3 linked regions of the Macaca mulatta genome follow. The protein of the gene in region 1 interacts with the protein of each later gene in a pairwise test. Links are inferred from orthologs where the notes say so. Each region holds a gene or a part of one and is shown in the gene's direction. Other genes may lie near its edges. The genes, in order: RFX6, FRS3 and SS18L1.

What was found.
Region 2: the proteins of RFX6 (region 1) and FRS3 interact in binary tests that used the Homo sapiens proteins (3 or more experiments, as listed by UniProt). The two-hybrid records come from large-scale screens. The link is inferred for Macaca mulatta from reciprocal best matches to the Homo sapiens genes RFX6 and FRS3.
Region 3: the proteins of RFX6 (region 1) and SS18L1 interact in binary tests that used the Homo sapiens proteins (3 or more experiments, as listed by UniProt). The two-hybrid records come from large-scale screens. The link is inferred for Macaca mulatta from reciprocal best matches to the Homo sapiens genes RFX6 and SS18L1.

What each region holds. Positions count from the first base shown.
Region 1 is NC_133409.1:21,955,450-21,957,841, forward strand, and holds part of RFX6 (DNA-binding protein RFX6), read left to right. Parts: intron 1-983; coding exon 984-1,196; intron 1,197-2,392. UniProt on the Homo sapiens protein: Transcription factor required to direct islet cell differentiation during endocrine pancreas development. Specifically required for the differentiation of 4 of the 5 islet cell types and for the production of insulin.
Region 2 is NC_133409.1:140,394,412-140,398,163, forward strand, and holds the start of FRS3 (fibroblast growth factor receptor substrate 3), read left to right. Parts: upstream 1-1,339; 5' UTR 1,340-1,370; intron 1,371-3,287; 5' UTR 3,288-3,417; intron 3,418-3,658; exon of another isoform or gene 3,659-3,752. UniProt on the Homo sapiens protein: Adapter protein that links FGF and NGF receptors to downstream signaling pathways. Involved in the activation of MAP kinases. Down-regulates ERK2 signaling by interfering with the phosphorylation and nuclear translocation of ERK2.
Region 3 is NC_133415.1:114,953,583-114,957,234, forward strand, and holds part of SS18L1 (calcium-responsive transactivator), read left to right. Parts: intron 1-395; coding exon 396-540; intron 541-1,725; coding exon 1,726-1,905; intron 1,906-3,320; coding exon 3,321-3,485; intron 3,486-3,652. UniProt on the Homo sapiens protein: Transcriptional activator which is required for calcium-dependent dendritic growth and branching in cortical neurons. Recruits CREB-binding protein (CREBBP) to nuclear bodies.

The sequences.
Region 1 (2,392 bases):
AGCCCAGGCTGGAGTGCATTGGCAGGATCGTGATTCACTGCAGCCTCAAACCCCTGAGCTCAAGCAATCCTCCTATCTCAGCTTCCCAAGTAGCTGGGATTACAGGCATGCATCACCATCCCTGTCTAAATTTTAAATTTTTTCTGAAGTTGAAGTCTTGCTATGTTTGCCCAGGCTGATCTCAAACTACCAACTTTAAGCAGTCCTCTCTCCTTGGCTTCCCAAAATGCTGAGGTGCCTCCCAAAGGTGTGAGCCACCACCCCTGGCCTGAAGTTGTCCTCCTAAATACCACACATGTTACAAAAAAAAAAAAAGAAAAAAGAAAGATAGGTAATATCATATGTTTGAGATCTACCTTAACAGCCCCAAGGAGGAAGGTTCTGTCTTTTGAAAACATTTTTAGTGGATAATATTTCTTCCAGATAACTAAAAGCAGATTTTAAAGATTGGGTCCAAAACGGGCCAATAAAAATTGGAAGTTAAGGGAACTGGAGAGACCTGTGACCTTGAGTCACCAAAATAGGCTTTGTGTGTAGACATCTTTGGTGTCTTTCTCCTAAGGGTAGGCCAGTCTTTGTCTCCCCTAAATATGCATCTATACATGAAAGTAGTATTTTTGTGACAGGTGATAGTGCTTTTTTCTTTCTTAGTAGGTAGCTCTTGTTAATTTAGGTAAGGGAAATCTGACAGAGGTGTAATCTGGTCTTAAAGTTAATACAATTATTATGTATTATGCTATAATTATTATATTAAATTATGTATGATGCTACAATTCTTACGTATTAAAAACAAAAAAACAGCACAGTAAACCTTATCTATATACAAGCGCAAATCCAGTTCTGTAGCATATATAGATAGATACACATGTAATACTTGCAGTTTGATATCTTTAGCACATCACCTAATTACTTTGTCACCTTTTTGCTTTCTGAAAGTTCTTTGTAGTAAGTTAACAGCAAATTCTCAACATTTTCTGTTACAGGATACTATGGAAGCAACATAAACTACCCAGAGTCTCATAGGCTGGGATCAATGGTGAATCAGCACGTTTCCGTCATCAGCAGTGTTCGCTCACTGCCCCCCTACAGTGACATCCACGATCCACTTAACATTTTAGATGACAGTGGTAGAAAACAGACCAGCTCGTTTTACACAGACACATCATCTCCAGCTGCATGTCGAACTCCAGTCCTAGGTAAATTATTTTAGTAGTTCTTGGAAACATTTTAAGAAGTCGTTGACCTCAGGTATGCAGCATTACTTGAGGGAGATATGCTGAGGTGAATTGAGCAAGCATGTTCCCACGGTTGATTTATTATTATTACTTTGGATCTAAAGTTATATTTTTTGTATCTGACTACACAGTAACAGGTTTTCATTTCTTATTGTGTATATCTCTATTATGCAACCTACTGCTAGATCTGTTATGTTTTACCAAAAAATAGCTGGTATCTATTAAGGAGGCAAAAAATTAATATGACCTGTCAAATGCAGTCTAAAACTGTAAGTTTTAAAAGGGCAGTAATAATATCTTTTTCTCACTCTTGATTAGTGTTGGACCCAGTTGTAGTGGCAAGAGGTATCTTTAGGTCTCATGATCTCCATAAGTATCCAAAAATCACTCCAAGATTTAAAAGAACTGGTGTCCTGTGATGGGTGCTACTAGCATTCTCTCATTCTTATTTAAAATGTGATTCAACACCTCGAGAAAATGTTGCTATTTTTATTGCTCTCTGACATATCATGTGAGTAAAAATAAGAAAAACAGTGTGCTTGCCATGAAGCCTCCTGGAATCTTCTTCCAACCAGGTTACCTTTCTTAATCCTTGTCTATGAAGAAATTCTGCAACTGGTACTAGTTGCATCACCAGCACCTAACAAAATGTCTGCCACATAGTAGAAACTCAATAAGTGAGTGAGTGAAAAAAGGAATAAAAACTATATATATATATATATATATATATATATATATATGTATAGTCTATAAATAATTAGTATAATTAGTATGTTATTAGTAATAACATAGGTTTAGTCACTATAGATTTAGCTTCTAAAATTACTAATAAGATTTCACAGGGCAAATATATATTCACTAAGTATCAAGGCAGAGTGTTAATATTTATATGAGATGGTTAAAATCTTCCAATGAAATTGATTTCAGACTAGCATAAGTAAAGGGCATTGACACACAACTAGAGCATAAGGGAAAATGGAATCAATTTCATCTCTCCTCACTCAGTGTACCTTTCCAATAATTCAATAGGAAGTACTCCTTCTCTTCCTGTCACTGTCACACATGCTCCCTGAGCAGAATCTAGCAGCTCATCTCCTGCTATCTGCAAATGGTCATTGCTTCTAGGTTACTCTAATGAAGCAGAAAATTCCACTTCA
Region 2 (3,752 bases), about 120 Mb from region 1:
TCCCACCTCAGATAAGGGACAGAGCTGAATCCCTTGTCTTGCCTCTGTGCAGGTGCAAGAGGGCTCAGGAGCTGGACATCCCCAACCCCCGCTGCCCTGAAGGGCAGAGCCCGAGAGGACTTAGGGCTTGGGGAGGTGGAGGGATGGGAAGATTTCTGGGGACAGTGGGAGGGAGAAGGAAGGGGAGTGCCCGGTCCCGCCGAGTGCCCTCTCGGTAGATCCCCAAAGCTTTTCTAGAACTTGGCGGGCCCGCCTCCGGGGCTGGGACGCGGAGTTTCCCGAGTCCGCTGGGCTTCCGGGTCTGGCTGCTGGGATTTTAGGGGAGTGGACCAGGACTTGGCTGGGGTCTCACCATCGCTGTGCGTCGCTGTCCGGGCAGTTCTGGACCGACTCTGCCGTCAGGCCCCTCACCCAGACCCCACCCGAAGGCGTCAGCGCCCGCCCCCGTCCGCCCCCGCCGGCCCCCGCCCTCACTAACAGCGCGGCCCTTCCTCTCCCACGCCCCAGGGGTCCCCGCTCGCCCCTCCCCTGCTGGTGGAGAGGGGCGGCTCAGGGAGGGGCCTGGAGCTGCAGATTGGGGGCGGGGGGGAAAGCAAAACAAAACCACATTTGTGGGATCTCAGGGTGGAAATGTGCGGGCTCCACGGCCTCTGCCATGCAGGTGCAGGGGCTCAGGCTGGGACTGCGCCCGGCGGGCATCCAGTAGACGCCGGGAGCCGCGTTTACGCTGGGTTCTCAACCACTCGCTGAATGGAAACGACTCGCCGGGCGCGCAGCCCTGTCCCTCTGCAGTTCCCAGGTCTCCCCAAACTCTCCCTCTGGTCTCCCAGCCCCGCCCCTCCGCGTGTTTCCCTTCAGTTCTCTCCCCCTTGTCTCCAGTGGTCCCCCTGGCCCCTTCCCCTCCCCTCAGCCCTCTTCCGGGTTACATCGTCTTGCCTGTCTCCCTTCAGGTCCCTTCAGACCCTCTCCCCTTCCCTTCGTTTCTCGCCCAACCCTCCATCCCCTTTTCGCTCGCTGCAGCACCCCCAACTTTGGTGTCCTCAGCCCCGCCTCTGCGCCCCGCCTCCGCCGCAGGCTCCGCCCTTCCCCCCCGCCGGGCTTTCTCAGCCCCTGGCCAGGAGCGCCCTCTAGCGTCTGCGCATGCTCACTGCTCCCGACTGCAAAGTCCTCCAAAGGGACCTTCTAGGCTGCGTGCCGGTCGCCCCCGCTCGGGTCCGCCCGCCCGCAGCGTCTCGTTGGTGCTGCCGGTGACCTCCGACCCCGCGGCCGCGGGGCGGGGCGGGGCGGGGAGGCCTTAGCTCTGGGCGGGCGGCGGCTGCTGCAGCGGGACCCGGGAGCGGGGCCCGGCGCCGCCCGGGCCGCGGGGCGATGTGAGTCGGGGCGCGGCGGGGCGGGGACGAGGCGGCTTCACCGAGGCCGCGTCGCGCCGCGCCGCAGTCTCCACTCCCTCCCTAGGAAGCCCCGGGCAGGCGGGCGGCGGAGCACCGGGGCTGGGGGCGGGGATCCGGGGAGAGCGCGCACCCAGACCTCTTCATTCCTTACGGGCGTCTAGAAATTCCCCTGACAGTCCTGCAGACTCTGGCTCCCCTAACCCACCTCTACCCTTTCCGCCCTGGACACACCATCGCATCTCCTGGAGCCCTCAGAACCCCCTCACTCGCTCAGCAAATCTGCTATGCGCACGGACCCAACATTTCTCTTGGATGCCCCCAAATGCTTCCACTGCCCGGAAATTCCTAGGATCCCTCATATCCGTATTCTCCTTGCACTATCCAAAATGCCCACATCCAAAATTCTTGCTCATGTTTCCCCAAACGTCCTCATACGTTTTCAGCCCCCACACCCCATCTAACTCCTGCCCCTGATCATACCTATCCAAGACCAGAGGCCTCTCGCCATTTCCACTCAATGCAGTCCTTCCTCAGTGAGCTATGTGGTCCATCCTGATATCTTAAGGAGAAGAGATGGTGATAGGGAAGTGCAACCCCTCCCCCATCTTGCACCCTAGAGTTCTTGGTGCCCCCACCCTCCCCCCACCCCGTCTGTGGCTCAAGCCCCAGTATTTTCCCAGCAACCTGTCTTTAGTCCTTGCACACCTCCCTGAGCCTGCTTCTTCCTTCCAGAAAATAAGCCAGACCAAGGGGATGGGGTCCTTTTACCTGGAAGTTGTCCAAGGTTGCAGGGTGCAAGGGGCCCTGGGAAGTATTGTTTCTCCAGAGCAGGAATGTGGAATGTCCAGGGGTCTGCAGGGTCCTGGCTTGTTGACGTGTTTACCTTGGGCTCAGAGGCCCTGAAATTTTGGCTTACTGTTAACATTTATGTTGAAATTAGACCTTTCAGAGCTTGGGGAGCAGAAAATCTATCAAGCTTCCAAATGCGAAATTGAAGCAGCCTGTCTTGGAAGAGGAACATGTCAATTTTAGTGATGTTTGTCTTACATTTTTGCCTTACAAGTTATTTAAGCTAGAAGCTCCCCAGTTTATAGATGGTTTCCCCAAAAACTAAGACCTTAGGTGGGAGTTGGGGGGTTGACTTAAGTCTCCCAGATACTTAGTAGCAACAAAACTGACCGGAATATTGGTTTCCTGAATCTTAAACCAGTGCTCTCTCTACTATATCACAGTGTCCTTTTGAGAAAGCTCTTTGTAGAGTTAAAGTTCTCTGCAAAGGTAAGGTGATGGTTTTGATGTTTGTTGTAACAGGACTCAGAGGGAGACACCTAAAGTGACTTAAAAGGCCTTGGCCAGGCGTGGTGGCTCACACCTGTAATCCCAGCACTTTGGGAGGCTGTGGCGGGTGGATCACAAGGTCAGGAGATCAAGACCATCCTGGCTAAGATGGGGAAACCCTGTCTCTACTAAAAAAAAAAACAAAAAAATTAGCCGGGCGTGGTGGCGGACGCCTGTAGTCCCAGCTACTGGGGAGGCTGAGGCAGGAGAATGGCGTGAACCCAGGAGGCAGAGCTTGCAGTGAGCTGCGATCGCGCCACTGCACTCCAGCCTGGGTGACAGAGTGAGACTCCGTCTCAAAAAAAAAAAAAAAGAAAGGCTTTGGGTTGTCTTAGACTTCAAACTCATTGATGCTCTGGGAGTCTGTCCCTCTCAGGGCCCATGGGGCTTGGAATTTGTGCTCTCTTTGCCCTTGATTTTACTTTCTTCATTGGTGTTTTTGTCCCATTAGGGCTGAAACACATATCCAGGTGGGATGGACTGCCAGGTCAGTTTAATTAACAGTTGGGGGTGAAGATAGAAGGTTTTATTAATCAGTGTCTCTGTTTCCTATGCTAGGTGAGCCCCAGGTGTATCCCAGAGGGATCCAGGTGACTTCTCTGCAGACTGTTTGCCATGACAGCCCAGCAAGGACAGGGGGAATAAAGTGGGAACCCTTCCCCATGCCCTTCCCAATGGCCTGGGTGAGGTAAGAGCTGTGTATAGGAGTCAGTTTTATGGCGTTTCCCAAGTTGGGAGGAACAGAGGATACAGGTCACCTGGTTATTCAAAGCTTTACCATTCAGCAGGAGTTCTAGAAGGATAGCCAATCCTACAGACTCATTTCTTGTGACAAGTTGCAACCCCTTAAAACTTCTGCTTGGTATTGGTCCATGCGTTTCTTGTTCCCTTAGGTCATTCAGGCCTGGGTGGTGTCCTCTTCATTCTAGGCACAGCCCTGACTGTTGTGACATATCATCCAAGTACCAGAATCCTGGAGGGAAGAGCCAAATAGTAACGCCTCTGGTCTCCCCTTCAGACAAA
Region 3 (3,652 bases), on another chromosome or scaffold:
GGGAGCACAGAGGCGCCGGCCAGCTGCGCCTGAGAAGGACAGGGTGCATTGGGTTGGACAGGGGAAGGGGTTCCCTGCTGTCCCAGGAGAAGGAGGTCCAGCTTTTCAAACCCAGGCATGTGTGGATGAACTCGATACTAGCAGAGTTCCGAACGCTCACCCAGACACTCACTATGCCGTCTCCGTCTGGGCCTGGTGCTCGGAGGTCACCTGGCTGTTGGGCCTGGTGCTCTGCGGTCACCTGGCTGTGACAATGGCTGTTGATTACGAACATGGACCAGGTGGCCATGACATGTGGCAGCACATCTCAGGCGCCCTCTCATCCCTGGCCTGGCTTGTGGAGGTCGCTCTCCGTGAATTAACCGTTTTCCCTGGAAACTTCCTGTTGCCTGCAGCCGCCCACGCAGAACATGAACCTGGGCCCTGGAGCCCTGACTCAGAGTGGCTCCAGCCAGGGCCTGCACTCCCAGGGCAGCCTGAGTGACGCCATCAGCACGGGCCTGCCACCCTCCTCCCTCCTGCAGGGCCAGATTGGCAACGGTGAGTGCGGCGGGGGAGGAGGGCATTCCTGGTCACAAGGCCACCAAGGCAGCCCTTGGGCAGGCAGCTGCCATGGTGGGGCACCCCACCCGTCACAGGGCTGGGCATGGGGACCCACTCTTCCTGGGGTAGCCACAGGTCAGCTGCCATCGCCCAGGCTCAGGGCCGCAGCGAGCTTGCCATGTGGCTGGGATGAGCCCTTGCTCCAGATCGCCTGCTCTTTCTGACACTGTCATACTCCATTCATTTCAAATGCAAGTTGCCAGGTTCCAGGTGGATTGTGTAATAACAATGGAATGCTCCTGTCTTTGAATTAAGAAGCATGAGTAACGTTTGGAGACTATTAATAGTAATATAACAGGCCGGGCATGGTGGCTCAGACCTTTAATCCCAACCCTCTGTAAGTCCTAAACCAGCAGATTGCTTGAGGCCAGGAATTTGAGACCAGCCTGGGCAATATGGCAAAACCTCGTCTCTGTAAAAAATAAAAATATTAGCTGGGTGTGATGGTGCCCACGCGTGGTCCAAACTGCTTAATACTTGGGAGGCTGAGGAGGGGGAGTCACTTGAGCTTGGGAGGGTGAGGCTGAAGTGAGCCGTGTTCATGCCACTGCCCTGCAGCCTGGGTGACAGAGCCGGACCCTGTCTCAGAAAATAACAAAATAACAACAAATAAACAGTGCATGCTGTACATTGCTAGCATGTATGCTGCTTTTTTTTCTTTCTTTTTTTTTTTTTTTTTGTTTTGAGACAGAGTCTCGCTCTAGTCGGCCAGGCTAGAGTGCAATGGGCATGATCTTGGCTCTCTGCAACCTTCGCCTTCTGGGTTAAAGCAATTCTCCTGCCTCAGCCTCCTGAGTAGCTGGAATTATAGGCACCTGCCACCACACCTGGCTAATTTTTTTGTATTTTCAGTAGAGACGGGGTTTCACCATGTTGTCCAGGCTGGTTTCGAACTCTTGACCTCAGGTGATCCACCCACCTCAGCCTCCCAGACTGCTGGGATTTCAGGCATGAGCCACTGCACCAGGCCACTTATTTCTTTTTTAGTCACTTAATCATTAATAGTGATGTTGATAGAATCTCTTCCCAAAATCATTTGAAGGGAAATTGGGGCATCTTCACCTTCAGAAGTGGTGACCTGGCTCCCCAGCGCCTGACACCACTCCCTGCTCCCCCTGCCAGGGCCGAGCCATGTGTCCATGCAGCAGACGGCGCCTAACACGCTACCCACCACCTCCATGAGCATCTCGGGGCCTGGCTACAGCCACGCGGGGCCCGCCTCACAGGGCGTCCCCATGCAGGGGCAAGGCACCATCGGCAACTACGTGTCTCGGACCAACATCAACATGCAGTCCAACCCAGGTACCTCCTCTGCCTCTGCAACCCCGGGGGGCCTGGGCCTGCCTCCAAGACCCTTGACACATGCATGTTGGATATGTGTCCCTGGGGAGCTGCCCTCTTGCTGGGTGCTGCGGGAGAGGGGCCCGTGAATCAGGGCTGGCCGCCGCCTCTGAGAGCTTCCGGAGGGATGGGCACCAGTGGGTGCACAGCCAACCCCTCCTGTCCCCCAGCTTTGCGAAGGGTTGGAGTGTTTCCCATGGAGTCTCAGGGAATGCTTCAGGGAGCGGGGGCCACTGGCCTTGGGTCTGGACAGAGCACTGGGCTCTCAGAGGTGGGGGTAGAGTTGTTCCCCAGGGAGGGAACAGCCTGGCTAGAGGCACCTCAGTGGAGAAGACAAGGGGCCAGAAGCGCTGGGCCAGAGGCCCCAGCCTTTCTGCAGGGCAGCAGGAGCCCGAGAATGGGGCCATCCGCCATGGTGGCCACGTGTGGTGTTGGGCAGTTGAGAAGCAGCAGGTCCCCATCACGTTCCATGAGCATCGGCCCCGGTCGCGTTTCGTGGGCGTCGGTCCTGGTTGAGTTTCTTGAGTGTTGGAGACACATGGACTTCAGAGGCTTACTGCCAAAAAAGGGTGCCGAGGACCTCCTTAGGATTTTCTCACAATAACTGAGTATTAAGCGTTTGTCTTGGACATACTGACTCAAATAAAATGCACGATTAAAATGGATTTCACCTGTTTGTTTTTACTTTTTTGATGTGGTTACTAGAAACTTTAAAAAGTGTGGCTCGTGTCATTTCTGTTGGATGGCGCTTCGCTAGGGGCTTCTGAGCAGGGGACGTGTACGACAGGCCAGCGTGAAGGGCCGCGAGGTTGCACAGGTGCTAATGAGGGGACAGTGTGATCCCTGAGGCCAGCTCAAGGGACCAGGGAGAACAGGACTAGGGAGGGGACAGTGTGACCCCTGAGGCCAGCTCAAGGGACCAGGGAGAACAGGACTAGGGAGGGGACAGTATGACCCCTGAGGCCAGCTCAAGGGACCAGGGAGAACAGGACTAGGGAGGGGACAGTGTGACCCCTGAGGCCAGCTCAAGGGACTGGGGAGAACAGGACTCGAGCCACGGCGCAAGTGGGGTTGTCACGGGAGCTGTGTGTCCGAGGAGAGGTGGAAAGGTGGTGGTTGGCTGTGGAAGCCACTGGATCTTCCTGCCCAGGGGCTCTCCCTGTTTTCTGCACGTCGGCACATTTTCAAATAGTCGGTGTAAGCAGCGGGTCTGAGCATGCAGGGCGTCAGTGCAGGCCTTTCAGGGGAGGGTGGCGTTCTCGTGCGGAGCACAGGAAAATAACGAGGAACCTGCCTGGGCGCAGGAGGTAGTTGGGTGTGGGAGGGAGGGAGGGAGGCTTCCCGGGGTGATGTGGGGCCTCTGTCCTGTCGTGCAGTCTCCATGATGCAGCAGCAGGCGGCCACGTCGCACTACAGCTCGGCTCAGGGCGGCAGCCAGCACTACCAGGGCCAGTCGTCCATCGCCATGATGGGGCAGGGCAGCCAGGGGAGCAGCATGATGGGGCAGCGGCCTATGGCGCCCTACCGGCCCTCCCAGCAAGGTAACGCCCGGCCAGGCCAGGTCTCGGGCACGGCTGACCGCCCCGGGTGGTGAAGTGCCAGGCTGTGTGCTTGTCTGTGGGGAGCCTGGGGGAGTGAGGCTTGGGGCCTTGGTGTGGACACTGGGGGTGCGGGCTGGGGTGTGGCCCGCGGAGGGTCTGCTGTCCCC